Caenorhabditis elegans: one gene and its partners. The protein of the gene in region 2 purifies or fractionates together with the protein of the main gene of each other region. This does not show direct contact. Each region holds a gene or a part of one and is shown on either strand. Other genes may lie near its edges.

Evidence for each region.
Region 1: the proteins of F46H5.3 (region 2) and F09E5.3 fractionate together in Caenorhabditis elegans (co-fractionation; one large-scale study listed by BioGRID). This does not show direct contact.
Region 3: the proteins of F46H5.3 (region 2) and gta-1 fractionate together in Caenorhabditis elegans (co-fractionation; one large-scale study listed by BioGRID). This does not show direct contact.
Region 4: the proteins of F46H5.3 (region 2) and ilys-5 fractionate together in Caenorhabditis elegans (co-fractionation; one large-scale study listed by BioGRID). This does not show direct contact.

What each region holds. Positions count from the first base shown.
Region 1 is NC_003280.10:5,370,979-5,377,080, forward strand, and holds F09E5.3 (Putative deoxyribose-phosphate aldolase), read left to right. Parts: upstream 1-3,018; 5' UTR 3,019-3,025; coding exon 3,026-3,187; intron 3,188-3,247; coding exon 3,248-3,913; intron 3,914-3,959; coding exon 3,960-4,043; 3' UTR 4,044-4,187; downstream 4,188-6,102. Other genes in the region: sec-6 (Exocyst complex component 3), read left to right, coding at 207-431, 483-603, 654-995; agt-2 (AlkylGuanine DNA alkylTransferase), read right to left, coding at 1,159-1,206, 1,258-1,331, 1,514-1,734, 1,787-2,060, 2,106-2,235, 2,291-2,368; algn-2 (Alpha-1,3/1,6-mannosyltransferase ALG2), read left to right, coding at 4,290-4,449, 4,867-5,400, 5,453-5,601, 5,649-6,008. UniProt on the Caenorhabditis elegans protein: Catalyzes a reversible aldol reaction between acetaldehyde and D-glyceraldehyde 3-phosphate to generate 2-deoxy-D-ribose 5-phosphate.
Region 2 is NC_003284.9:7,234,286-7,241,780, reverse strand, and holds the start of F46H5.3 (putative arginine kinase F46H5.3), read left to right. Parts: upstream 1-3,118; coding exon 3,119-3,157; intron 3,158-4,735; exon of another isoform or gene 4,736-4,879; intron 4,880-7,495. Other genes in the region: F46H5.7 (AMPK1_CBM domain-containing protein), read left to right, coding at 544-760, 819-980, 1,033-1,152, 1,202-1,423, 1,473-1,694, 1,939-1,956, 2,196-2,276, 2,327-2,486 and 2 more.
Region 3 is NC_003282.8:10,177,650-10,185,805, forward strand, and holds gta-1 (putative 4-aminobutyrate aminotransferase, mitochondrial), read left to right. Parts: upstream 1-3,010; 5' UTR 3,011-3,018; coding exon 3,019-3,058; intron 3,059-3,514; coding exon 3,515-3,624; intron 3,625-4,308; coding exon 4,309-4,378; intron 4,379-4,420; coding exon 4,421-4,518; intron 4,519-4,842; coding exon 4,843-5,181; intron 5,182-5,228; coding exon 5,229-5,891; intron 5,892-5,976; coding exon 5,977-6,108; 3' UTR 6,109-6,290; downstream 6,291-8,156. Other genes in the region: rack-1 (Small ribosomal subunit protein RACK1), read left to right, coding at 1-181; mspn-1 (Mitochondrial sorting homolog), read left to right, coding at 321-455, 499-619, 665-839, 894-1,335, 2,137-2,292; ptrg-1 (Tyrosine-protein phosphatase 4), read right to left, coding at 6,301-6,360, 6,411-6,544, 6,735-7,203, 7,255-7,401, 7,454-7,589, 7,640-7,920, 7,964-8,098.
Region 4 is NC_003284.9:6,531,664-6,539,714, forward strand, and holds ilys-5 (lysozyme), read right to left. Parts: upstream 5,178-8,051; 5' UTR 5,115-5,177; coding exon 5,081-5,114; intron 4,449-5,080; coding exon 4,336-4,448; exon of another isoform or gene 3,594-4,335; coding exon 3,477-3,593; intron 2,739-3,476; coding exon 2,682-2,738; intron 1,985-2,681; coding exon 1,886-1,984; 3' UTR 1,827-1,885; downstream 1-1,826.

The DNA of each region.
Region 1 (6,102 bases), on a different chromosome or scaffold from region 2:
AACGAAAGTTTGAAATTACAGTACTCTTTCAAGTCGCACAGCTTTTCGCATTGAACAAAAATTGAAAATTGTGTCGAGACCGGCTACCGTATTTTTGGTACAAAAATCGCGAAATTTCGCGCCTGTGTATAAGCAGATAGGATAGGGGTTTCGTGTTTATGAATTTAGCGTTTTTTTTTCACCAAATTAAAATAATTCAATTTCAGAGTAAACTATCTCCGAGAAGAAGTCATCACAGATATTGCTCCAAGTCTCGTTGAAATCTTCTCGAAAAAATGGTTAACCGGAAGTGCTGCTCTCGAGACAGTTTGTATGACTATTTCCGATTATTACCACGATCACAAGCATCTGCGACCAGTCACAAGGTCCACTTTGCTTATGGATCTTCAATTTAGAATTGTTAGCGAATATTTGAAGGCAATCGAAACAAAGTAAGTAGCATTTAATTTGGATTTTTTTTTCTCAAAACACCAATATTTCAGGCGAGTGAGTCTCAATTCGTATGAAGAGCGTGCACTTGCAGGAAAGAGAATGAAAGCTGATGTTGTTCGTTTGGATAATCTTTATGCTGAATTTGCGACAAGTTCTGATATGGCTGATCAGGTAGAGATCAAAATCTTATTTCTAAAAAATTAATTTAAACATTTTTACAGCTCCCACTCCTAACATCAATTGTGGCTGCAGCTGGAGATGTGATTTCTCTAAAAGACAAATCTCTTCTGTCACTTGAAGCCACTTCATTTGCTCGGAAATTTCCAAATTGTCCTGCTGAATTGCTTTCTGCTGTTATTGCGACTCGTGATGATATTAGTGGCAGTGAAGCTCGTAGTTTGGCTAGTGAAGTTCTACAACATGTACAGTTCCATCCAAAGGATCAGATATTCGATCAACTTTTTGCTTTGCGACAACAAGAAAATTCGGAACGACTTCCAAATTTGGGAATGGCCAACATGTTCAAAGCTGACTTTATGTCAATGCTCAAGAGAGACGCATAATTTATATTTACTTATAGTTAATTTATTTTCAATTTCACTTCACTTCAATGTAAAAAATTTTATTCTCAATAAGTTTATTGCCAAAATGTTTATCAAAGCTTTGATCAAATACTTAATAGGATACAATTATACATATAATAATGAATCAATCATTTTTTTCCATTCAAATTCCTCTTTGTGGTTTTCGTTCGAAACTGATGTTGTGTCGTTTCTAAAAGATTACTTTTTTTTTTAATTTTTAAAAAGTTATTTTCATTATTACCAATGTCTGACTGGATACTGTAGATTTGCTGAGTTTCAACTCAATATCAATTTCTTCTTGTTCATCTTGTCGACCTGAATAAGTTTATTATAGTAACAGATACCTAAGAATACGATTTTTTCCATATCATTCCAGAATTTTTCTTCAAAAAACAATGTAAAAATATAGTTATTTTCAAATGAAAAATTTTAGAATAACATGGTGCAATAGACACTTTTGTATCAGACATCTATCGATTTTTTTAAAAATAACTCACCATCTTTTTTCTTCTTTTCGCCTTTGATTTTTGGCACTTTTGCTGGTTTCGGTGCTTCCTGATGTTTCTGTATCTTCTGTATAATCATCTTTTTTGGTGGGCTCTTTACTTCGGACGTACTCGGACACGAAACAGTTTTGGCACAAATTTTGGGAGACTGTTTCATAGAGATTGGAGGAGGTGCAAACTGGCGGTAGCGTTTTGGAGATGTAGGTGGAAGTCTGAAAAGTTTTTTACTTTGAATTTTAAATTTGAAAAAATCACGAAACTTACCGAGAAGTTGATGGCATTGCGGAGAAATCAAATTTTGCCGGTTTTGTCTCTTGTGGTCTTCTTTTAATATTTTTGTGAAACGTCAGAACGTCTCTAAGCGTAACTTCAGGATTCATAATAGTTGATGATGGTGTAGGACCCTTGGTTTCAATTGGTATTCCTTTGAAAGCCAGTGAATGAGCTTCTTCCTTCACTTCTTGTAGTAAAACTTCATCCATTGGATCATGTTCATGAGATGAGTAAAAGCTTTCGCGTGGTTGTCTTACTGGGTGACCTTAAAAATCAATCAAATACAAATTTTTGTTTAAAAAAATCTTACAAGGTTGTACAACAGGAAGAGGTTGTGTCTGTAATATGCAATTGAAGATTTCTTTGACATTTTTTGCTCTTCCGACATGCATATTTCTCAAAAACACAGAATTTCGATTCCAATCAGATGGTTGTCCTGTCTGAAAATATTGCGAATTTTATTTATCGTAACTAAAAATACAAAAAAAAACTTACTAGGTATTTATAGACGGATTCACGATAGCTTGAAGGTCCTCGACATCGAACAATAAAGAACTCTTCGTCGTTTGCCATACTTGAATTCAGTATTACCAAAATAGAGTAAATCCGGAAAATCTATTGCGAAGATGCGCGCAAAGTGCGTCAGCTGAGTGCCGAAAAGACGTCAGCAGTTGTATATCTCTATTTCTCTATGCTCTCTTCAACTTTCAGTTTTCTCTACAACTTTTACAGTAGGTTTGTGTAGAATAAGATTTTAAAAGTGGTTTATTGTAATTTTGTGACTTTCATAAATGCGCATATTATAAATAATTCTTATTTTTTCAATAAACGACCTTTGAGATGATAAGCGGATCACATATAACTTATCGAATGGCCTCAATCATCAAAATTGTTATCAACTGGAACAAAACGATAAAGAAGAAATTATTTTATCGGTTTGGTCTCACGATTTTTCTTGCCATTTTCGCGAACAAAAAGTATTCTTATTTTCTCTAATTTGAAACAATTATTATTTTTTGATTGTTTCAATGCTGTGAAGTATTTATTATTTCAACAAAAAATTGTTTCTTGTTTCCCACCAAGATAAAAAAGTTGTGCACTTTTCCGTTCTAGTGTTTGCACCAATCTTGCTCGGTGCGCCACGATTTTTATTTTTAATTATATAATTCCTCTTCAACTCCTCGTTTTATTCGAAAAATGTTCTAAAAATATTCAATTTTCAGTCACAAAATGGCGACGATCGTGCCAACACTCTTCTCATTCGTTCGTGACACTTACAAGGGCCGTTTCGACGTGGCCACATTCGAAAGAGAAGTTGGACGCGATTTTGATAATCAGGAGATTGCTCAGGCCATCAGCAAATACGAGCAAGAAGCGAAGAATTTGAGAAATGTAAGATTAATAATTCATAAGCATAATTCTTCTTTGTTTCTATTAAAATGCTTGTTTCAGAAAGACGAAATTCGCAAAGTAATTCAATATATTGATCTAACTACCTTGAATGGTGATGATACTGCGAGCAAAGTTGTTGCATTGGCAAAAAGAGCAATCAATCCAGTCCCAACTGATCCATCAATTCATTGTGGATCCGTTTGCGTCTATCCTCAAAGAATCGCCGATGTCAAGAAATTCCTTGCTTCTTCGAAGTTAAACTCCAATATCACTTCAGTAGCCGGAGGATTTCCATCTGGACAATATCATTTGAAATCCAAAGTTCTTGAAGTCGAGCTCTCTGTTGCTGATGGAGCTACTGAAATCGATATTGTCATCAGCAGAGCATCAGCATTGGACGAGGATTGGAAAACTGTTCACGATGAGGTTTTGGCATGCAAGAAGGCTTGTGGCTCGGCTCATCTCAAGACTATTTTGGCAACTGGAGAGCTGAAAACCTTGAGCAACGTCTACAGAGCAAGTTGGGCAAGTATTCTCGCTGGATCCGATTTCATCAAGACCTCAACTGGAAAAGAATCTGTGAACGCCACATTGGAAGTTGCTTACGTTATGTGTACTGCCATTAAGCGTTGGCATGAGCTCACTGGAAAGAAGGTTGGATTCAAACCAGCTGGAGGAATCAAAACTGTTGATGAAGCACTCTCTTATGTTGCTCTTGTCAAAGATGTGAGTGTTACTTATTCTAAATACAATTATAAAATTCATTTTTCAGATTCTCGGCGACGAATGGCTCAATCCTCACTTGTTCCGCATCGGAGCTAGCAGTCTTCTTGATGATTGTCTGAAGGGTCTTTAGATCAGTTTTTGTTATCATCTTTTTTTTTTGTTAAGGTTTTCCCTATTCACTTTTTTTTTCGAATTGCCATAGCATCCATGTTACAATAGGTTGTGCCACCCCGAGTTTTACAGAGATTTTAAGGAATGAATAAATAAATTGTTTTATTTTCTAAAAATTAAAAGTTTATATAACATTATGTTTATATTACCATGCTCATATTTTAAAAAAATTGAATACAAGAATTAAAATATTGAATTTGGTAGTATGGTCCGGGTAACCATTCTCCATCCAGATCTAGGCATCGGTGGAGCCGAACGATTGATTGTTGATGCTGCTGTTGGATTACAGGATCGAGGACACTCTGTTCGGATTTTCACGAATCAATATAGTAGATCGCATTGTTTCCAAGAAACTCTAGATTTGGGTGAGTCGTATTGCCTTAATGCAAAATTTCGCGTTTTTTTGTGCCAAAAATACGGTAACTGGTCTTGACACGACAAAGTTGTGTTAAAAGTTATTTGTTTAAATATTTAAAACTCAAAAATTTCAATAAAAACATTCATTTTTCAAAATTCGCAAAAAAAAAATTGAAAAAATTTCCAAATTCGTGTTTTGTTGATATATTTAGATATCACATAAATAAATATATTTTTATCGAAAAACTATAAAAATTGATGAAAATTCCGCGACAACAAAAGTTTGAAATTACAGTACTCATTAAAATTGCATGCAATTTTTCATTCAAAAAAAAGAAGTCACATACCGTATTTTTGTCGCAAAAATCTAAAAAATTTCGCGTCTCCGTAATAATACCAATCGTCAAGCTGATTTCATTTTTCAGATATTTGTACTGTGGTTCCATGGATACCCCGTTCAATTTTTGGAAAAGGTCATGCTCTTTGTGCATATCTTAAAATGATCATTGCTGCTCTCTACATTGTAATCTACCACAAAGATACTGACGTCATACTTTCGGATTCTGTATCTGCTAGTCAATTTGTTCTTCGTCATTTCTCAAAGGCAAAACTCGTATTCTATTGTCATTTCCCGGATCGACTTTTAACGAAACGTGATGGAAATCTGAAAGCTTTCTATAGAAATATTATTGATTGGATTGAAGAGTACACAACTGGACTTGCAGATGTCATTTGTGTCAATAGTAATTTTACAAAAAATGTGGTTCGTGAAACATTCAAGTCACTGGCATCTCAGGAGCTGACCGTACTCTATCCTTCGTTGAACACCGAGTTTTTCGATTCGATTGAAGCTTCGGATGATTTTGGTGAAGAAATTCCACGTGGTACCAAATATGTTTTCACCTCACTGAACCGATTTGAACGAAAGAAGAATATCGTTTTGGCTCTAGACGCATTCGGTAACTTTAGATTTTATATTTTTAAAAACCTGTGTAATAAATTATTTTGCAGAGAAATTGAAATCGAATCTTCCTGCCGACGAATTTTCGCAATGTCATCTTGTTATTGCTGGCGGATATGATTTGAAAAACCCAGAAAACATCGAACACTATGATGAACTTGTTGAACATATGAAGAAACTGGAGCTCCCAGCTGATCAGGTAATAAATACGAATTTAGCAAAGTATAAATTACTTTTAAATTTCAGATCGTATTTCTCCACTCACCATCTGACACTCAAAAAGTAAATCTCATTCGGAGAAGTCGTGCGGTACTTTACACGCCTGATAGAGAACATTTCGGAATTGTTCCAGTTGAAGCAATGTACTTGGGAACCCCAGTAATTGCTGTTAACACTGGAGGTCCCTGTGAATCGGTTCGGAATAATGAGACGGGATTTTTGGTTGATCAAACGGCCGAAGCGTTTGCTGAGAAAATGATTGATTTGATGAAAGATGAGGAAATGTATCGAAGAATGAGTGAGGAAGGTCCGAAATGGGTGCAAAAAGTGTTTGCATTTGAAGCATTTGCAAGAAAGCTCGACGAGATTATTCAATCTACGCTTTAATTAATGTTTTTTCTTGAAATTTGGGTTTTAAGCGTTTCGTTTTAGAATCGCCAGTGTATTTTTTGTGATAGTCCTATGTGCTTTAAATTATTTA
Region 2 (7,495 bases):
GTGGAATTTGGGGTTAAAAAGACCTATATTCGCAAAATCGTTTAGGAATGAGTATCATGCATGGGGCAAATCCAAACATGAAGCCCATTTCAAAAAAAAAAACGAATTTTCCGTTAACAGTGAAAATTTTCTTTATTGCCCCAATAGTTGCCACTATTTTCCAGAGCTGGCAATTTAAAATGGATTACTGTATAAAATTTGTTTAATGTTCTACCAATTCAAAATATTGGTTTTAATATTCTTGAAATTTTGACATATTTGACTGAGTAACATAAAAATCTGATCATCAAGCCAAAGTAGTATTTCGTGTTTTTTTAAGTGCATAGCTTTGTAACAGTTTTGAAGTACCAGCTAATTTTTTTCCTGCTCAATCAAAACACGATCGCAGCTGTGTAAACTGTGAAATCTCCAAATGCTTCAAAAGCGATCTGACATTTTTTGTCCAATTCAAACTTGTAAACATGTTGTCGGTCTCCGAGTGGTACATTTGTGACAAATTTGACCGGCGAAATTGAAACAAACAGAGAATTTGCATTATTTTAGCTGCCGCGGGACTTGGTGGAAGGTCACAAAAGGTGTATGCAGCTGGAAAGACCCGTGCTCGTAGTACTTCAAAGAAAAATCAGCCAAGAAGCCAGTTTGATGCTCAGCCTGAAAATGTGAATATCAGCGAGGAGAGCGAGGGAAGAGACTCCGAAAAGGAAAAGAACGACCGACAGCTGGAAAAGCTGAGAAACCGAAATGATGAGCTGAAAATTAGGTAATAACCCTAATTTCTCAATATGTTTAAATTTTTTTTTAATTTTTCAACTTAACAGAGTGAAAGAATACAAATCCGACTTGTCAGCCGCTCAACTTAAAGTCAAAAATCTTGAGAAAAAGTTGGAATCCGCCCAATCGGCTGATTCTGAAGAGAAATTCGTTCGAATTGATTCGGAAATCGACGAGAAACGATCCCAGGATCACGATGAAGAAATCAAGTATGATAATCAAAATGCACATTTCACGTTATTATTTAATTAGTTCTTTCAGCAACTTGCACAATGTCATTGAAGAGCTTCGAAACAAGTTGGCCACTGTTGAATCGAAAAATAAGGATCTTGAGACCAAATTCTCCGAGAATCAAGATTATTTGAAGAACGCAAAAGACAAGTAAAACATTTAAAAGTTCAAGAGTTAATCGGAAAAAAAATTATTTTAGGGTAACATTCTTAGAGAATCAACTCAACTCCGACGCTCATGAAGAAGTGAAGAGTACCGCCGTCAGAGCACTAGAGGTTAAACTCGGCTTGGCCAACAATTCAATTCGTCAAGCTGAGGCTGAGAAGCAACAGCTCCAGGAGGCTAACTGGTACGCGAACGAACGTGTCGGCAAGTTGGAACAGGAGAACGGATATTTGAAGGGAATCACTGAACAATTGAAGTAAGGCATTGAAATGACAAGCAATTTTTAATTTAGGGTTTTCTTTCAGGGCCAGAGCAGACACCTCACACGCTGAAAAAATGCTGAAGGACAGCGAGAAGCGTGTCTGGGAGATCAACGAAGAGAAGAGCAAGCTGGAGTGGCGTCTCGGTGAGCTCTCCCAATGGTGGAACGATGCAAAGTGGAAGGTCGGCGAGTTGGAATCCTCTGTTGCCCTACAGAGAAATTTGCTTGACACGGCAAACTCGAAGATTCAAAGCCTTAATGATCAGTGAGTTTTCTTTGGAGTTGGGGTCAGAGCAATACGAGATTGAATGTTTCATGAATTTAAAATATCAAAAACGGCGCTTGTAAATCATTTCATTACATAAAAATAAAAACGAAAAATTGCATGAACATCTTTGATCACTTTCTAGAATTACCCAAAAAAGGACTTTATAAAAATCAAAAACTGAATAAATTTTCAAAATAACAGATAGGAAACTTTAAAGAATTTTTTCATATTTCATTTTTAGGTTAATACAGGAAGTGAGGTAAGGAATACAGATTTTATTGAACTACTTGTAACTTAACGTCTGGAAAGCAATGCACTTTATATTTTTTTTTCTGAAATTTGCGGAGTAGTTGAATTGAAAACAATACTAACTATGTTTTGTTTTTCTTATTTAATTTTTAAAAATTGAAACGAGTGTACAGTGTATTTGACGGTGTGAATATAGTGTTCCTCATCCAAAGCAATATTTCATTCGAAATCGAAATTCCAATAATTTAGGAGTCACTCCAGCACCATGACCATTCCCACCGACGGATTCACCATTAGCCAAAGCAACCAAGGAACTTGGAACCTTGCCAAGTAAGTTATACCAGTGGTTCTCTTGATATCACTATTCCAAGTATTTGCAGCGGAAGTAACCAGCCATGTTTCACCGGAGCCATCCCATCCATCCCACTTGTCTCAGCCCTGCCATTCGCCGGAGCCAATCCATTCATTTTTGGGGGAGCTAACGAAGGAAGAAATGTAACGTTGACCATTTCGAACACAGAGCAGGAAGTTTACTTGACGGTAAGTTTTTTTTTGCCAAATAGGTCTTCATTTGATTTTTCAGGGAAGTTTTATCAACTGGAAATGCACATTGAAATGCGAGAAACTGGTTAGCGGCAAGAAAGGAGTCACGGTCAATTTGACGCGTGGAAGGTAACAACATTCAAATTCAAAACACAAATTTCAAGTAATAATTTTAGACACGAGTTCCGATTCATGATCAATGGCGAATGGGCGACGTCGAGCGACTATCAACAGGTGCCAAACGGTTTGGGCGGACAGAATAACATTATTTTTGTCGAATAATAATTATTCCCTTGATCACTTAAATTGAATTATTTTTTCTTACCTGTCAACTTTGTTTCCATTTACTTCTCCTCATTTTTTGTATCTTTATTTCTTGTTTGTATTACATACCACTCCATTCAAACTTATGCAGTTAACCACTCTATTCACTAGATTGTGTTTAGAAAATTGTGAAGATTCTGAATTTTTTCGGGACTTTTGGCATTGCCATGATGTGAATGAATATTTTCGGTTAATATTAATTCAGATTTCAAATAACTTTTGTTCAATATGTAAAGTTTTTTTACTTAATTTTTAATAATTGGTTGTTTTTTCTCAATTTTCCGAATTAAATTTTTCAATAGAAGATGTTACATCGATGCTCGAGAGTATTGTCACAATTTTTGGTAGGTACTTTGCAGTGGTTTTGTTTCACGTTGACAACTACCCTCAATACATAATATGGCGTTTTATGAAAAAATTATAAAGAAGTTAACATATACTTTCGGGCACAATTTTTGCAGTACTCTAACTATGTACTTGATTGAAATCTCAGCAATCAAGTAAGGAGCAAATAATTCAATTAATAAGTTCCATCCTCTTTTATTTAAAATAGTGTTTTTGCGCATTAATTGATTAACTTTAGAAAAAAATCAACAAACAAACAAATTTGGAAAATGTAAAAGTTTGTTGAAGATCTAATTTTTTCCAAGATAAATTAATTAATTTACAGAAAAGTTTTTTGTCCTATATCTTTTATTTAAATGTTTTTTTTTTCAAAAAGTTAAAATCAAAATATTCAAAAATATTATGAAAATGTGCTATTCAAACTGACGTCCTACACGTTTTCAAAAATTTCAAACTTTAAAACACATTTCCATATTCACCACTAGAAAAATATATATTTTTTTAAAGTAATCAGGTGTTAGTACTTGGAGTCTAAAATTTGCAAAATTGAAAGACTTGAGATAAAAATGAAAATGACGAATAATTGAGAATGTGCAAGAAATATTTTAATTAAAGGCTTCGCATGTGTGCTGAGTGTTTTCAATGTGTTCCATCTTTGTGTGTGGCTTATTTTTCAACAAATTTTTTTTCGACATTTGTTTTTTTTTCGCAGAAAAATAATATGAAAGTTTTGCATTAAAAAATGTGTTGATCAAAAATCTTTTCAAAAGGTAAAAAGGCAACTTTATTTTTGTCTGATATATAACATTTTGAAACACCTGCAAATGAAAACGCAGTCAAATTCCCATTGCACAATGTCTATTCGATTGCTGACAAAAATATACTTTCAGTATTCAAATTAACGTTAATGGCTCTTTTTGTTTGTTTACACTCCCAAAAAAACATTGTGTTCGTTCGAACCAACTGTAATAGGTATGAGCCTATTTCAATAATTATATTTTTGTTTAATTCCAGCAACAATAGTTTTTTATTTGGTGACACGATACATAATTTGTTTGTTAATCTGGTATTTTTGGAGTTTATTCCAATTTTGATTTCGCGCAATCAATGCAGTGAAATAAACTTTGTAAAATAGAAAAAAAGACTCTGGAAAGCTTGGTGATTATGTTCATAGCTAAAAATATCACAAGTAGGTTGATGTTTATGTCTAGATTGAGAATTAAATTATCTTGATAAAATCCACCATTTTTTAAAAACATTTTTCTCAACTTGAATATTGTCTAAATTATAAATTTTTAGTTAAATGTTCTATTTTTCTACTTTTCAATATAATTTGTAAAAATGTATTTTCCAAATTCTCTTGTTTTAGAAAATCCCCAAATCATTCAATTTTCAAATAACTCGGAAAAACTCAAAGTTTTATTACGCGGAGATCAACCTTCCTTCTATCTTCCTGTCTTCTCATGTAACTTCTTATCCCGTATCCCTTTTTATCACTTTTTCTGACTGTTTTCTACTGGCTCATCACAACGTTGCGTGAGCCTTTGGCCGATAGAGGTTAACTGTGTAAAGCATGTTCGGCAACTTCGGGAAAGATGGATGCCGATGAGAGCAGGAACAGATGGCATTCGACGGCAATGAAATAGCAGATGGCGGTATGAGAGTCTTTTGAACCTCATCCTCGTCGGCTACCACTTTCTTTCTTTTCACAACATTTTTTTGCCATACTCTCCGATGGCCGGAAAACAATTGTTGTGTAATATCCAGCGTTTGCGTGAGCCACCGAGTCTTGTGTCAATTCGAGTAGAGGAAAAAAGTGAAGAGAAATAAATTACCCATGTGTCAATTGTCGTTGGTCAAAGAACTAGACTGAAGAAACAAGAAAACGACCCAGAACCAGGAAATAACACGAGAAATGATGAACCTGTTATTTAGAGGAAGAAGAACCGTTCGAAATTGTTGCTCAAAGAGACAAAAAATAGTCTGAAAATGGTGCATTCCATTATGAGACTTTTCAAAAATCTCTCGGACACATTGTTGCAGTCTAAAAGTAACGTGGGTGAACGCAGAAAAAATCTTCAATTTTTCCATATGGATGTGTCGGCTGGATAAAAAGCAGGGCTACATGTAGATATGCATAACAAGTGAAGTCTAACAAGTTGTTTTTGGCGATAAATGCTGAATCGCAAGCCACTCACAAACTAATTATTTTATGGAAGTACAGAAAAAAAATTATTCAATGCCACGAGATTTGAGAAGAAATCAAAATTTTAAAAATTGGACTTTTGCACACCTTTCAATTTTTTGTGTGTTTTTTTTTAAGTGGAAAATCTAACGAGTAACTGAAAGTAAATATCTTTTCGAACAATTGAAATGAGAAAGTGTATAAGTATTGAAAAATCTTTTTTTTTAACTTTGATTACTTTTGCTTCTCGAGTTAATAATGGGTAAATTTACAGATTTGTCATAACATACAACTTGTGCTTGTTTCAAGCAAAATGTTTGAAACTTAATAATTTTTGGCAATCGAACCAATCGAGAATTACCTTTTTCAGTTTTGCACACCCCACTTTAATAGTATTTTTTCACCTCGGCACATCTTGAAATTGTAGTAATAATAATTCAGTACAGAAATAAAAGAAAAAGGTTAAGTTTGTTGTGAATTATACATTTTTACATAGGACACAAAAGAAATAAAATCCCCCGAAGATTAATAATGGTGCGTTTATTAATAGAGGTTATAATGTTTTTTTTCAACAGCGCATAACTGTGTGTGTGTTTCAATTTTTTTTTTAATTTTGTAGCGAGGCAATTGAAAATATTTATTCAGATAGTATTATTTTCCAAAATGAAAGGATGAAACCGTGGGGAGGAGGCGTGAAAATAGATAATCCTTGTTGTGATTAGTGGCACATTCAAATATATTCGATAAGCCGTATTTGGGACAATGGTTGCCAAGACGACGAATACCTGAATTTTATCCAAATCTGAACGAATATTTGGCAGTGTTATTTTTACCTTGATACTTATCAACCTGAAGCTAAAGTAATCTGTTTTTGTTCATATCCAGGCTCAACATATTTTTTTTCTTCTGGAAATCTGTCGTTATAAGTTTTCATTTTCATTGTTCATTTCTTGTAATCAAAATAATCAGAACTGATGTTCAAAAACCACTTCTTTATTTTCTACCAAGTTATTCATCATTATCTTTCACAAAGTCTTAGAAGACATTTGAAAGGTTCTGAGAGATTTTATAGGTTCTGATATCAAATCCATTCAGCACTTATCAACTGTTGACAAACAGTTTTTCATTTATTTGCCACGTCAATTCAAGTATATCCACGATTTGATATATCTTTCCAGCACGCACAGCCCACACAACCACCATGCACAGCGCAGAAACCAAACCGTTTCCTGCTCGAACTCTGCATCTCTTTGTCTCTCGCATTTCAATTGTCTTCCGCCTTTCTTTCTCAATTCAGTAAGTTCATTTGCCGAGTATTTATGAATGGGAAGAAAGGGGAGAAGGAAGGACGGGCGCCGCGGATGATGGCAGAAGGCCCCTCGCGGACCTCATGCTCTTTCTCAATTCCCGAGACACTAGGCAAGATGCGGAGTCGTAGATCCGACTGGCAAACAACTTTCTTCTCTATCCAATGTGTTTTGTGTGCGTATGTGGCAGTTGGCAAGAAGGCAAAAAAAACGCGCGGCGCCCTCCGCGGCACACTAAACCGAGAAACCGAGTGAAATGGGAGAAGAAAGTGTGTTACAAATCGGGAAGCAATAAGAAAGAGAGCAAGAAAGTGAGCTTCAGTAGTAACATGTTTGTATGTTCTTGCTTGTACGTGGCCTTCTCCCGATTGATGGTCATTGCAAAAAACGGTGTGCAGTCGCGAAGTGTTTGGGGTCACGTACACACCTGTAGAAAGGCAATCAAAAGTACAAGGACAGAACTGTAACTTAATATTCTACCGGAAAGTGTGTCAGGGCAACGTGCACGGCATCAAATCACAATTGGATAGATGCCGTTTCTCCACAGCCGTTATCTGACCTCGCGCACTTTGTAAACAGTTGAAGGAAAATAGAAAGAGGAAAACGACTGTTGGTCAGATGTTATACATCTTTCAGTTTCTATCACTATTTGGGTAGTAAGGTCAACAGCTGCTTCCGGTCAAGTCAACTGGAATTGCTGAAGAGTTTACTTTTTACAATATCAAAGGAAAACTGCAGATGAACGACAGACTTGTCTGAAAACTGAAATGACTTGGTTTTCAATTCCTTATTTAGTCTCATAATGCTCCGTGAGCACGAATTAAGGATCTAACACAATTCGCAAG
Region 3 (8,156 bases), on a different chromosome or scaffold from region 2:
TCTCGAGGACAAGAAGGAGATCGAGGAGCTCAAGCCAGAAATCGCCAGCTCTGGAAGCTCAAGAGGATCCAGCCCACAGTGTATCTCTTTGGCCTGGTCTCAAGACGGACAAACCCTCTTCGCCGGATACACCGATAACATCATCCGAGTGTACCAGGTGTCGATCCGTGCTTCCAACTAATTTGTTACCTGTTAATTCAAAACCCTTCAATAAAATTGTTGATATAATTTTGTATTCAACCATGTCAGATAAATTATTCGCGTTAATCAAGAATATCTAGCAGATGATAAAACAGCAAGGTATACTTGTTATGTTAGAGATGACGGATCGTAATGAGTTGATCGGTGTTGCAATTCGAGTAGTGGCGGCGGCTGCAGTTTCATTTCTATCAGTGCGCTATCTAGTCAAGTACTTGGATCCAAATTATAGTGTGAATGAAGAAAGCAAAAAGAAGGTTTGTAGATTTACAACACTAATTTTGTTTTTTTAATATACAGGTGGCACAGCTGTTTCATGAACTTGGTATCGATCGTCAAATAGAACTCTCAGAGCACGAAATTAGAATCGCCACGCAGTTTGTTGGCGGAGAAGACGTTGGAGCAGATTGGGATGAGATCGGTAGAACAGAAAATTGTTTCGCAAAAAAAAAGAAAAATTTTACAGGTGGCTGCGAAGAACTTGTTGCTGAACTAAAGGATCGCATTATTTTACCCTTGAGATTCGCATCGCAAAGTGGAAGTCATTTATTGTCTCCTCCACGTGGAATTCTTCTTTATGGACCACCCGGATGTGGAAAAACTCTTTTAGCGAAAGCAGTTGCAAGGGCAGCTGGATGCCGGTTAGTTATTCATAAATGCAGAATTGACCTGTTTTAAATATTGCTACCTTTCAGATTTATCAATCTTCAAGTGTCAAACCTAACTGATAAATGGTACGGAGAGTCTCAAAAACTTGCGGCCGCTGTTTTCTCTGTTGCTCAAAAGTTTCAACCAACAATTATTTTCATTGATGAAATTGATTCGTTCCTCCGAGACAGACAATCTCATGATCACGAATCAACAGCAATGATGAAGGCACAATTCATGACATTATGGGATGGATTTTCTAGTTCTGGAGATCAAATCATTGTTATGGGAGCTACAAATCGTCCACGAGACGTTGATGCTGCTATTCTACGCAGAATGACTGCAAGATTCCAAGTTCCAGTACCAAATGCCAAGCAAAGAAGTCAGATTCTTAATGTGATTCTCAGGAATGAAAAGATCAATAATACTGTAAATCTCGGAGAAATCGCACAGGCAGCAGAAGGTCTTAGTGGAAGTGATTTGAAAGAGGTTCGTGCTTTTTTTCTTTTTAAAATTTTAATCAAATATATTACATCCCCGAAATGGTCGTAATATTATTAGTTCGCTTTGTGGCTATATATGTCACATATATTCTAGTGGAATTCGGTAACGAAATATTTAATATAAATCTGTTCAACATGAAAAATTGTAGACAATAATATATCTTGGATTTCCTATAAAATCCAATACATTTTTAACATGAATTAATAGTGAAACAGCAAATAAGTATATGTGTTTTTATTGAAAACTACGAAAACTCGATTAAACTTTTGCAACAACGAGAGTTTGAAATTACAGTACTCTTTAAAGGTACACACCTTTTCATAGTTAACATAAAATTTCGTGTCGAGAATATTTGGGGCAGAAATCGCAAAGTTTTGCGAGCTTCATGAGAATAAATTGCTGTTTCACAATTAATTCATGTTTCTAATGTGAAAAATGCATTGGATTTTAAAGGAAAAATGTAATTTGTAATATGATAAAATGTAATATAATTGTCTACAGTAACCTTAAAGGAAAAAAAAATACAAATAAAAACATTAGTGAAGAGAATTGTATATATTTAATACAAGTTGTTCTAATAGTGAGCTTGAAAAAACTTACAATTTTGAATTTAATTTTAAAAAAACTCATTTAAATTATTTCAACTTCTTCCAAAATCATCTAAAAATATTTAGAAGTTAGATACACAATAATTAGCTTAAAAAATAATACGCGTTCGAAAATTTTAAGTTTTTATGTTACAGGAAAATGAAACGCCAATAATCGTGTTGTTATGTAATTTTTCAGGTTTGTCGTCTTGCTCTTCTCGCTCGAGCAAAAGCTACTGTAGCTTCTGGAGGTTCCGTAAATCAACTTCTTCCATTGGAACAGTCCGATTTTGAGTCAGCAGTGCATAAATATATGAGAGCCGCACATTTACTTGTTGAAGAAACACTTGATTAGTCTTAAAAGTTCAAGAAACGAATGTTTTATTTCATGTAAACTTCTATTTCTTTTTCTCTAAAAGTAGTCCATTCGTTCTTGTAGGTCTCAATTTATTATACCTTTTTGTAGTATAAAGCTAAAGAAATGTAACGGTGCTTTGACTTAAAATCGAAAATCTTTTTTTTTATTCCCCGGAGCTTCTAGAACAGATTCAAAAACTAATATTTCTGATTCCTGATTTTTTACTTCCCTATTCTTATGTATTGCATTGATTTAATAAGTACGTTTAGATTACCGGTTAGATTGTATTCTCTTTTTCTCTTTTCTTTCACTTGTCGATATCTCCAGAATCTGAAGAAACAATAAATCGATCACGTGACCCCATCTCTTTGTGTCAGTTGTCCTTCCGATTACACCCTTCGTGCTCTGCGAGCCTTTTTCTTTGCACAACGTGGAGCAAGTTTACACCATTCACAGGCTCAATATAAACGTCTTCCATTGGCTTCCAATTTTTCAGTTTACTTCTTCAAACAATTTTCACTAGAAAACGCATTTATTTCCTTCACTAAAAAACATAAGCTCCTCCCCCTGCCTTTCTCTGCGTCTCGTTTGACGCCTAAAAAGAGAAAACGGGAGAAAAAATTATTCGGTTTTCTCCTGCCACTTCAAATTTTACTCTTCTTTCTCTTTGTTTTTTTCAAATCGATTTTCGAATAATTTGAATAGTTTTTTTCAGAAGGAAGAATGCTTCCCAGACTGGCAAAGTCATCTTTAATCCAACAGGGTAAACCAATTAATATATTTTGGATTCAACTGGGATTTATTTAGGAAATAATTTAACATATAATTTTTGATTTTGAAAAACCTAACCTGCAGCTTTTTAGTTCTTCTAGATACATTCATTTTCAACCCTTTTTACTTGCATCTTTGACCTAAAACACATTGAAAAAGAAACAAACAACACTTTTTTGATTCTCTTATCAGTTTATCAGTATCACAAACATTAACGAAGGCAATTGATTTTTCTCGAGTAAAACCGAATAGGGAAAAGATCAGAAAAACTGAACGATAAAATCGAAGTTTTGGTAAATTGGCAGGTATTTTGATATTCACCACATGTTTCAATTTGGAAGATTAAAAAAACAAAATTTTCTGAAATTTTAAAAAAATACTAAAACACTTCAACACCATGAGAATGTTTCCAAAAAATGCTCTGACTCAATTGAAACGTTTATTTTAGTGCGTGGAGTTTCGGCGATTGCAAATGCCGAGCCATCTGGACCTAGTATTTCAACGAGCATTCCTGGACCAAAGTCAAAGGCGTTGAAACAGGAAATGGATAAAGTTCATGTAAGAATTGAGATATCGAAAGTTAAATGGTTTTTTTAAACATCATGGACCTTAAAATACCTTCAAATTGTGATAACTTATTTTTTATATCTATTCTAAATCTTATACGCTCATTATGTATTGGTTTTAGTTTTTGACAATTATTCAGTGGCGAAATCGCTTGAAATTACTTTTCAAACAAAAACTTTGGCTGAACTTTCTGACAACTTGCTCAACAGAAGCTCAACATTGTCAATTTGATTCTAAATTATTAAGAATTATAAGATAGATAAATTATAATTTTAGATTACAAAACATTATTAGCTATTTAATGGTCACACAATTGCGAAGAATTTCGAGCCATTCAGTTCAATTTTCAAATCAAAAACCAACATCTCAACTCCGTAATTACATGAACATCACATTCTTACCCTTATCACAGAACGAATGAAATTCGTCTCAGAAATATTACACTTTCTCTGGTCAACTGACAACTGACATTCAGGAGTTTTGATTATTTGATTTTAGTTTTTTTAATTTCAAATCTTCAATTTCATTGATAATACAAAAAATAAAATAATATTTCAAGGAAATTTAAATTTTATACATATTGTCAAAAATACTGTAGTTATGAAACATATGAATCATTCCAAATGCAATATGAGATTTCAAAATTTTATAAAAATTAAAAAAATTTTTTTTCAGCAAACTACATCCGTTCGTTTCCATGTCGACTACGAGAAATCATTCGGAAATTACGTTGTAGATGCTGATGGTTAGTTTTTATTTTCAGTTTACACACCAGGATTTAATTTAGGAAATGCACTTCTCGATGTCTATACTCAAATATCATCTCTTCCTTTGGGATACAATCATCCAGATTTGGTTAAGGTCGCTTCGCAGCCACATTTGATTGTGAGTTTTTATAAATTGATTTCAAAATCAATTTTTGAACCTCTTACAATCAATTGGAGCATTCGAACTTAGCCTTCCATGTACGCATGAAAATGTTTTACGCCGCATCCGCATTCAGGCACAAATACAGAAATTAGGCGGTAGGCAGTCAGGCAGGCAGGAGGAAGGCACATAATGACCATATTTTCACATTAACCGTACACCTAGAAACCAGTAAAAAATTAAATATTAAGTGATTTGCCTGTCTGTAATATTTGGATAAAACTAAAGAAAACAAGATACTTACTGAAAAGTTGAGAAATGTATTAGAAAATAAATTTTCAGACATCTCTTGTTTCTCGTCCAGCTCTTGGATCCTTCCCACGTACCGACTTTGCTGATGGAATTTCTCATGCTCTTACATCAATTGCTCCAAAAGGATTGAAGGCAGTTCAAACAATGCTTTGCGGTACATCGGCCAACGAGAATGCAATCAAAACTGCATTTATCTGGTATCAAGCTCAGAGAAGAGGAGGTCTTGGACCAGATGCTCTTCATTTGGAAAGCTGCATGAATCAACAGAAACCAGGAACTCCAAATCTTTCAGTTATGGGATTTGAAGGAGCTTTCCATGGAAGATCTTTGTGCATGTTGTCGGTTACCAGAAGTAAGCCAATTCATAAGGTATTTCAAAGTTTTATTTCGAAACAATTCTAATTAATTATTTTCAGGTTGATATTCCAGCATTTGACTGGCCAATTGCCAAGTTCCCCCGTTATAAGTATCCACTTGACCAGAATGTTGCATACAATAAGAAGCAAGATCAGGAGTGTCTTGCTGACGTTGAAGCGAAGATTTCCGAATGGAAACGTCGTGATAATGATGTAGCTGCAATTATTGTTGAACCAATTCAAGCAGAAGGTGGAGATCATTATGGAAGTCCAGCATTCTTCCAAGGCCTCCGTGATATTACTTCTAAACATGGAATTGTATTCATTGTTGATGAAGTTCAAACTGGAGGTGGAGCAACTGGAGATATCTGGGCTCATGATCACTGGAACTTGAGCTCTCCACCAGATATGGTCACATTCTCAAAGAAACTTTTGACAGGAGGATACTTCTACGGAGAACATCTCCGAGTTAAGGAGGCTTACCGTATTTACAACACATGGATGGGAGATCCGACCAAGCTTCTTCTTTTGGAAAAGGCTGTTGAGGTTATTAAGAGAGATGGATTGATTGAGCAGAGCAGAGAAGTTGGAGCTGAATTCCAAAAGAGACTTGGAGAACTTCAAGCATCGTCTGGAGGAAAGTTGGATCAAGCCAGAGGAAGAGGAACTTTTGCCGCCGTTGACTTCCCATCTGGATCTTTGAGAGACAAATTTGTTGACTTGGTAAGCAGAATTAATAGTGATAAATGTCAAATTCAGCCATCTTACATTTATATATTAAATTTCTTAAACTTCAATTTAATTTTAGGCCATCAGCAACGGACTTCACTGTGGAGGATGTGGAGACCGTTCACTTCGTTTCCGTCCATCACTCGTCTACACCAAAAAACATTTGGATCTGACTTTCGATCTTCTCGACAAGACTTTGAAGGGATTGTAATCATTTTTTCTTTTGTTTTCTCTTTAAAGCTGTATCCATTTTATTTGCTTCGCTGACCATCTAGCTTGTTATTATTTCAAAATATAATTAATAAATTAAATATTCATTTATAATGACACCGGAAATTGATTTTTTATTGTTTCTTCTCGGGAAGTTATACTTCGGATCGATTCCAATTGAATTTATAAATTTTTAGACACGTGTTCCTCCGACTAGCTGTGACATCTTTTCATAGATTATCTCGATTTCTTGCTGAAAACAAAATAATTTGGTATTGGAAAATGAGATAATTCGATTTTCACCTTCGAGGCAAAAATACCACACTGAATTTCGGTATACGATGAAAGAACCTGTACCACGTCAACACAACCCGTTGTCTCCAGTTGACACGCTAAAGTTGTGGCTGCACAAATACTGAATGCAAGTGCTGTATCATCTGAATATTCATCAATTTTGTTATAAATATAATATAATTAAAGTTTAAAGTATTTACAGATCATAGTATGTACGTTTCTACGCACACTACCATTTTTAAACTAGAACCAAAGGGGTTTTTATAAACTCCAAATTTGTGTTACAAAATTTTTTTGAACCAAAAATATTGATAGATATCAAGCTATACTCACCATTAAACAAAATAGAAAGTGATAATGTAGAAGTACTATCTGTTGGTGATGGAACACTTGGTGGGTATTTATGAGCCAGAATAAGCAATGGAGCATCATGATAAGTGATCCTCTGTTTTTGAACATTTTCAATTTCCCTCCAAAAATCAGTATCCAAATCTGCTCTTGACACATTCACAATTCGAACACACAGTTGTTGATCATCTTTTTGGAGCAGGACAAAGTTATCTCCGTGTTGAAGTTGAATTTCACCATCGTATATACAACTGGGAAGTTTTCTCCAAAACGAGTCTCGTTGGTTTAGAATCACAATTGTTTGAACTTTTTGTTGCCATGTTAATCTCCAAAGATCTTCACATTCATTACCCCATGATCCGACCATGAATTCATCAGATCTATGGTATCCTGGGAGTGTTATGACGTCTGATTCAATTAGACATCGAGGTTGATGTTTGCAATCACAGATATCCTTGAATAAATACTAAAGTTGAGAGGAGTTAGAAAAATATCTAATACAAACCTCAAATTGCAACTGCATTCTTGTTTTTCCGTTCAAATTTTCTTCGGATAAGTAATGCAGGTATCTCATAAAAAGGTCTGAATGAACTCGTGTGATTCCGTGACGAATCAATTGCCGGATAGCTTCGTGGCAGAAAATATATTGCTCCTGAAATCAGAAGTTTTGATACTAAGATTTCAAAGAAAGTAGATATTCTTACCAAAGTCTGCACCAATTTCGCTCTTTGTCTTCTCATATGTGTCAAATGTCCTTGAACATTGAGTCTTCGGAAACTAATCAAATGCCTTCTCATGCTATCAACAAGGATATATGAACCAGATCTACCAACTCCGGCGCTGAAAATATAAAATTAAAACTAAAATTCTCGGATTTCAGAATAACATACCTGCAATGAACTACAACGGGTCCGGTGGAATGAATATCGGAAGTGTAATGAACAAAGCTTAAAAGTGGGAAAACAGACGAAGGAACTCCATGATCCGGCCATCCCATAAAGTGAAGCTGATGGACTTTCCGTTCAACAGCTGGCACTGCTTTTGCAATTTTCAAATCCAATATTCGATGAGAAAAGTGGGCATTTGTAGATTCTGATACCAAAGTGACCTGATAATTTCCAAAAGTTTGCGGAGAATCCTGTTGTGATGGCCAGTATTGATCGCATTTTCTCTGAAATTTGAGATGTTTAAAAGTCAAAATTTATATAAGTTACCTTTCCATCTTCAACCATATTTGTGATGCATACAATAATATTGCTCCGTTCTTGCCAAATCATACTCCAGAAATCGGAAAATGTGGATGGAAGTGGAGCTTGTGTTGCGATGTAGGCATTACGTTCATTGCATGACTGGAATAATTAACTTGAAAGTTTTTGACTGAAAATGAAGTTTCAAAGGAATTTGGAA
Region 4 (8,051 bases), 700 kb from region 2:
TAAAATAAAGGGAAAAATAAAAACGTTTGAACAATCAAAAAATAAATCAAGTGATTGCTCGAGAGAAATACACGCGAGAACTCGTTTTTTTTAGAATTTCAGAAGCTGAGAATTTTTGTTTGCAAAATTATTCTATCGTTTCGCGTATACAAGTCGTCTTATTACTATTTTTGTTTTTGGTTTTTTCGTACAGATTTGTACGTCTGTAAAAAATCAATTTTACACAAAAGCCCCCCCTAACGCGGCTCAAATTCTAAATCTAGGTAAAAAAATGTACACATAATTAAAAAAAATCCATATCGAATTCCATAAGACGTTCTTATCAAGAGTAGGGAACTTTTTTATAACTTACAACAATTTCAAGTAAACAAATTTTTAATTTCTTTTCGTAATTTTTGTTGGTCACATGCTACAGGACCACGCTCAGTGGTGCCCTGAAATGATGCAATTTTTTCACGTGCCAATAAAAATCTTGCTCAGAGTCAGAGCAAGAAAAACCAGCGGCAAAGAGATGATATCAATTGAGAACAAAATAGAGAAAAGTAAGAAAAATTAAGTGTTTTTTTTTTCAGTTAATATGTGTTCTGAAGTTTTTCCTTGTTTCACAGTCACTTGTTAGCTGTCTGGATATTCTCACGAGGTGTCGTTTGTTTTGTCTGACCACCTGTTTGGATACGATAGATAATCAAAAAGCATCACTTTATAACTTTTAAAAATCTTTGGTTTTTTTACTTTATTCAGACAAGTTTTGAACTTATCAAGTTAATTAAGTTAATTTTCGGTACTTTTCCGATTTCTGCCCCCCCAAAATGTTTCGATATTTTCATTAATGAAACGTGAACTTTTTTGTAATTTCAGGCTTAGTATTGTTTTTTCTAAGCCTAAAAATTTGAAATAGTATTAAAATAAACATTCACGTGTGAATTTAAATTGAAATATTGAGTAAAACATATTTTGGGGGGCAAAAATCGGAAAAGTACCTAATTTTCTTCCAAATTTTGAAGTGAAAACATTTTTTTTAACATATGTTGAATACTCAATCTAAAAAATAGGTTATTAACAACAGATAAAAAAGTTAACTTCCTTAAACTTTTCATCCTCGGGAGACTAAATATTTTATCACGAATGATCAGTTTTCTTCTTTCTGCTCTGTTTTGAAAAGTTTGCTGGTAATCTGAAAATGATATTTTTCCCAACTTCTGTCTTGAGCTCAACTTGAGAACGAAAAAGACCAACTTTGTTTTTAAGCCTGAAATAGAAATGTGGAAACACCGAGATAAAGTTGCTACCTACACCCGTTATGATCCTCACAGAAATCTTGTGATCTTTAATTTTCCGGTTGCGTAGGTTTTAAAATCAAGTTTTCAAAACATCTCAGGTCTGCGAACAACAGTTCCTATCACTTCATAATGTACTTTGTTGACAATTCGAGATTATCATTTAATATCATTCGAGCTGTTCGTTCCGCAACCTTTTCGTGCAAATCCATCTCACGATTATTTTAATCCGAAAGTATCGTAAACATCATGCATCATCGAGCAGACAAATTGAAAGCCTTGTTTATTCTCACCAGAGGCAAAAAGAATATAAAACTAGATCATAAAACGGGTCAACTTATTTTAAGATACAACCTATGACATAGATGGTGGTCTACTTAGACCTTTACAAATTTAGAAAACGATATGCTTGTTCTCATAAATTGTTCACTCTGACATCATTTTAAACCCACTGACCTCTTCGCCTACTCAATTATTTTTCAAAACGTTCGCATTTTTTCGCAACCTATGTTTTGAAAAGCTTATAAACAAGTTTGATATCCTTTCTACTTTGATTTTAAATAAGCTTTATTGATTCATATATATTCTTATTTTGATAAAATTGAAAATTAAGAGCATCCACAGCAGCTTTTAACTCCGTTCCAGTAAGCCAAGGTGTTGGCGTTGTGGCATCCACGTGGTCCTCCGTTGTGGTTACGGGACATGATCTGAAATTGAATGGATTGCCATTTGCTTGATTGAAATCTAAGGTCTTTTGTCCTAACTTGAACAAAACAACATACTTCTGAAAATGCTACGTAGTTTTCTGATTGTTAGTCCCACTATTATCAATTGTCAAATACACATGTCCACTCAATGAAATGATGTTAAAAAACTGCTCAAGTGTGACCAAAATGATTAAAAGATAAAGAATCGAGAAAAAATTGTAGTGTTTCTGTCGTCAGAATTTTCCAAAAATTGTCAGGAAGTATATGTACATTTTTTGGTGGAATACTACTTGGATGCTCTAGACATTTCTACGTCAGACCTGTTCAGGTCTGCAATAATTTCTCTATTCCAGAGGGTCGTTTCACCTACCTAGTGACTATGGCATATTAATGTTTTCCCCTGCTACCCAAAATAGAAATGTTCGACATTTAATTTTCAACCTCTTATAGTTAGTTGCGTAGTAGCATTCTTGCTCTAAATAAAAAACTCTGACCCCTTTTTCGCGGAAATTTTTGTATCTTTCCTAAAACTTCGCATCACTTTATGAAATATTTTGTTTCCTTCTGATCAATTCAAAAATCAAAATCGGGGGGCAACCTCCTCCAAACTACCAGACACTCGAAAACTTTAAATTGTATTTCATCTACACAATTTGAAAGTGCCCAGAGCAAAACAACAACTGCGTAGGCGACTCACCTGGCAAGCTCCCATTCCAAGTCCATTGCACTGAGACTTGTAGCGGTTGTAGTAGTTCTGAAATTATTTCAAAATGCTTGTATAACATGTAGATTTTAAAATTTTAGATTTCCTCTTTTGTATATGTGATTTTTGACGTATTCAATAAATTTTGTGAAGAGTGCAAACATTCATTCCGTATTAGAGTTCTTTAACCTCTTTTCAAGCCGTCATAATCTTTCTTTGCTACTTTTTATGGCGTGGTAAGCACGTTGTTAGCGGGGTGTTGATAACAATAAGTACTTATTGTCTTTGATGTCGTTAACGTCGCCACCGCTATAGCCATACATAGAAGCTAACAATGACGTTTTTTGCTGGGCTCGTTTGCTATGTGTGCATTTTTGTTTACAGGTTAATTCTGTGATTTTTGACATTATCTCGCAACTTATTTTGAGCTAGTTCCTTTTTTTCTAGTTCCGCCGTTGAAATTGCAGAAAAGTTACTCATCGCAGTATTGTCTACATGACGTTTAAATTAATTTGCCTCAATTAGCGGCAGATAGTAGAAATTTGAGTTCTCAGGTGGGCGATCCACGTAATTCGTACACTAAATTTAGTCGCGAAGTTTTTAATTTTGAGAATGATATGACGAGATTCCCAAAGGATAGAATTGCTTCCATGACTGAAATAAGCCGCAGTCTATCCGGAATTTTGCGATTTAAGGATGAAAAGTTGCACCCACTCAACACCCGTTTTCCCAAAATAAGAATTTTGATGATTTTTTTTGCATGTATCCTGTTGCTAAATCTGCACGTACCTCGACGCAAGTGGTAGCGCAGTTAAGATCATCAGCACATCTCTTCCAGGCAGCTTCAGTAGTCTCTCCAGCCTTCTTTGTTGGTTGTCCGCAGTCTTCATAGTATCCAATCTTGATCTAAAAGAAACATATTATATTTTTATTCTTTACTTTTTATAGTTGGGTCTTGGTACATTTAAAATTAAAAAAAACTGGAATACATAGAGTAGAGTTCAATTTTTGTATATCCTTGTTGTTGTTCCATACAATTTCCTTGTCTACATGGTTTTGAAAGTTTTCATTTCTAGTATGCCTTTTATCTTCTTAGCTTCAATGCAAAAGTTCCCCTATACAAAAATCAATCCCGTTTTAACATTTTCAAAGCATTTCCTGTCCATTTCCTCGGGAAAGTACGCATTTGCTCTTTTGTGGTTTTTTTGTTTTAGCAATTTAAAACATCGTTTCTTGTTATACATTTTTATCGAAAAAACTCAAAATTAAAATTCAACGCGATTTATTTTACCATACTGATTAGGAACTTCCGATTCGCTTGAGAAGAGATATGTGAAAAATATGGGGGCTGTGGTCCGATGAACCGTTTCAATTATGCTAGATTTTCATTAAAGAAATATCTGTTCAATGAGGCATAACAAACATTTCGTGCCGATTTCAAAAACCATCAATTAATGAAGACATGAAAGATGAGCTTTTGAATTTCACGTATTTTTCTGAAGTGTTATTGTTTCCTTATTTAAATGGCAAAACAATAAACAGGCAACCGAACATCTTGTATGGTTTCATGACAAAATTGAAAACGTGTTCTGATATTCTGCTATTTCCATTTCTAGATTCACATATTCCCTAGTTGATCTTGATTTACCTGATAGTATCCGCAGGAGAGGGATCCAACGTCCATGTGGCAACCGATTGGTTTGCATCCTGACTCTCTCATGCAGATGCAGTGGAGGCAGTCGGCGGAAACGTACGCAATAGCTGAAATACCGTAATCACGAAATAGTTCTATTCGCTGTCTCTGCCTTTTTTTAAAGTTTCAATTTATTTTTATTTTTCTCCTATTTCTTCGATCTATAATTGTTGTTACTTTTCCCTATTGTTTTTTACAAATGTGAAACACATATTTAGCTTTCAAAACGTGCTATTAGCTGTAAACCTATAATCAGATGTCCCGTGAGCCGAGAAATGATTTGAGCTAATATTAAGCGAACTTTCATCCGATAAAATTTTATAAACAAGCAAACAACAACAAGAGTTAACACTAAATATGGGAGTAGTTGAGTCTAGATTAATCTTTGGTTAGCCGATATTAAACTTTAAATGACGTTTCATTCTTTGTTTTTAAAAGAAGATATTACCAGCCTTATGGAAATTAAAAATTTCTCTAGTTTTGTTTTAATTGATTGAACGCATCAGTGTTCAGACTTATCGAAACATTTTCAACTGATAACTAAAAAAAAAAGAAAATGTAAACATTGAAATTAAATTAGCACCTTAAAAATCCAATTTCATGTTGGTTTTGATCTAATTCTTTTGAGCTGGTGATTTACTAGATCTTATACAATTTTGCTGTTCACTGAAACCAGTTTTAATTTTGTTATCACACTCACCGACAGAAAGGAGCAGAAGCGATTTGACAAACATATCGGCTGATGGACAAGCTGTCTGAGTTTGCTAACTTTTGGACTCTCTTTTATATCAACTTACACGTGCCTTTGATCACAATTCCTTATCTCAAAACCCGGTAATTCCTACGTAAGCACCTGTACCGAAGACTGTCAGAGGCGGAGTTACAGCTCTGTGATCGCAGAGCGAAAGAGCAATTGATGCCACTTTCAATGCCAATCAAAGTGTGGCATGGATAGTTCTAGAAAAACGTATATCCTTCCCCAGAAAACCAACACAATGCAACAAATCAGAAATCTTGTGATTATTGAAATGGACTGCAATTTTCCGTGAAAGGATACACCTCTGTTGCTAATCTTATAATCCAATCTTCGGGTCAAAAAGAACGCGGCTTCCTAATATACTTTTGATTGGTGGGGGTGGACGAGGAAATACTCTGAAATAGGATCAAGATTATATTTATTTGTGTCTTTGACCATTTTTTTTGTTATTCAAATTTCAATGAGGTAATATTTAGATTTTCGTATTTATGTGATGATGTTTTTTTCTTATAAAGTTCCATTAAAAATAATATTGAGCTAATTTTTGAACCGACGTTTTTCAGTTCCCCAGATACATCTCGAACCAGCATTCTTTTCACAAAACAAGCGTGTTTTTCTCTTTTAACACAAAGATTATTTGTAAAAACCCTAACTACGATCAGGTAGTAGGTAAATTTTTCTAATGAGTAAGCTTTAGTTTCCGGCTCAACAACTTTGTGCAAGGGTTAAGTCATGTGAAACTGAAAAAAAACTCATTCAAGCTTGATTATTTTCACTAAAATGTTAAAAGGACAATTCAAGTACAAGTAGAATAATCTAAACAAAAACCAAAACAGTAAACAATCAAACATCGAACAATTCAATTTTTATTCATTTTATAATAATGTTTTTGAATACGGACGGTTTTTGTAAATTCAATTGACCGTGAATTCCGTAACGACGGGAGCTTTAGGAAATTTCATTCAATACAAGTATATCACTCACTAATGAGTGAATAGACAGTAAATCCAAGCAGTTACGACGTTCACGCGGATTTACCTTAGTTTACACACTGAATCCTCGTTCCGCATTGCTCTCTTCAGTAGTGCAGTCTGTTTTGTCATAATTCATTCATTATGTGTGACGACGTCATTTGAGAGCCTGAATTGGAATAATCGTGACTAAAAACGCAACAAAACCACTTGGTTGTCGCATCAATTATCCAGTCTAGAACTTTGCCACAAGTTTTTACTTTTCGATCTTCATTGTTACATTTTAGACGCTTTTATGGAGAATTGTTTTCTTTTGTCATGCTCTTCCAGCAAACCAAACTAGGTGCGTATTTCCTTGTCTACAGTTTGTGCTATCAAATAATGAAACACAAACCGTTTTTGTTATAATATGATCTGTAAATAGTGCGATCGGCATGGTTTCGCCTCGTTAAGACTTTTCGGAAACGAATGAACATTATCAGTTGATATCAAAAATTGCTCCGATTCCATCGCAATTTGGTTTTGCTTCATAGACATGGGTGTGCTGGGAGATTGGAAGAAGCGGCAGAGAAAATTGAAATTCAAGACCAATTTCCTTCGTGCAAACCATTCTGATAAGTATGTACCAAGTAGTTTCTAAAAACTCTTCTTTAGTTCCGTAAAAATCATAAAATGTGTGGTAACATGTGACTTTATACATAGACTGTTACATTGGTTATAGTAGGAATGTTCTGAATTGGTCGGACGCTTCACACACTTAAATGAAAATTATCTTGTTTGATTATTCAACACAATAACAAAAAGATAACAAGGGAATGATAATATTTTTATCTAATAAAAACAAACTTACTCCCAGAAGCGCATGTTTTTATATAAAGACAGGAAGGAATCGAAAGCTGAAGACTCAGTTGAGAACAAACTCTATTTAGTATTCTAAGTGAAGCTTGGACTAGTAGAAAATGTTTCACATACCGGACCAGGAAATTGTACTTGAACAGCAGATGTTCGAAATTGTGTTCTTAGAACTCGCATTTTAAGTTCGGAAATTGTGAACAGAGATTCCACGTTCTCTGTTAATTATTATTTTCATCGAAAAAAGGCCTTTCTTATAATCAACGAAAGTCTCGAATCTTTGGTGTCATTCGAAAACAAACTATTACCGCCGGCGAGCTTTTGAGCTGCTCTAACTTCCACTGAGCTAGTTCCTCCTTCTTAGCCACGTGTTTGAATTTGAACGTTTCCATCTTTTCAACGTCCCACTTTTCAATTTGTTGTAGTTGTTTTTGAGATCCGTTACAAACAAAGAATTCAAGAACTAAGAATTTTGACCCATGTTGTGATGTGATATGGCCAAATAAAGCGTAATGATGAGTGTGAAAAAACACATGTCGTTTGCTTTTTACGCTTCAATTTAACTTATTGTGCTGATAAAACCCATTGAAACAAAGCACTGGGTAAGAATATAGTTACGACGTAAATCGGATTCGTCCGCGCTGAATGAATTGTCAGAATCAATCACCGTTAATGTCAATACAACGTCATACTTATGTTATAGTGCTTGATTGCTAAATCTACTTTGACAATGAATAAGTACGTAATGTGATGAATAAGTAACTGAAACGTAACTGAAAACATTTTATAGTCAACCTTGCAGAACGTATATACGAATATCTATTTTGAACCCGCGACTATTTTAGCTATTCTTGCATCCGTCTGATTGTTTTTTTGCGATAGTGATAACCAAATTGTCAGTACATGAAGTTCTAAGAACTGAGTCATCAATTGACAACAAGCAAACATCCGATTTGCTTCAGGATGTACTTCAACTATATCCTTCTGCCTTCCAACCAACGCACTCTTTTCAAGTTCTCCTCTCTTCGTTTTTAATTTGTAATTGGATTGGAAAGAGATTATTATCCGATTAGACTTTCAGTCTTGTTAGT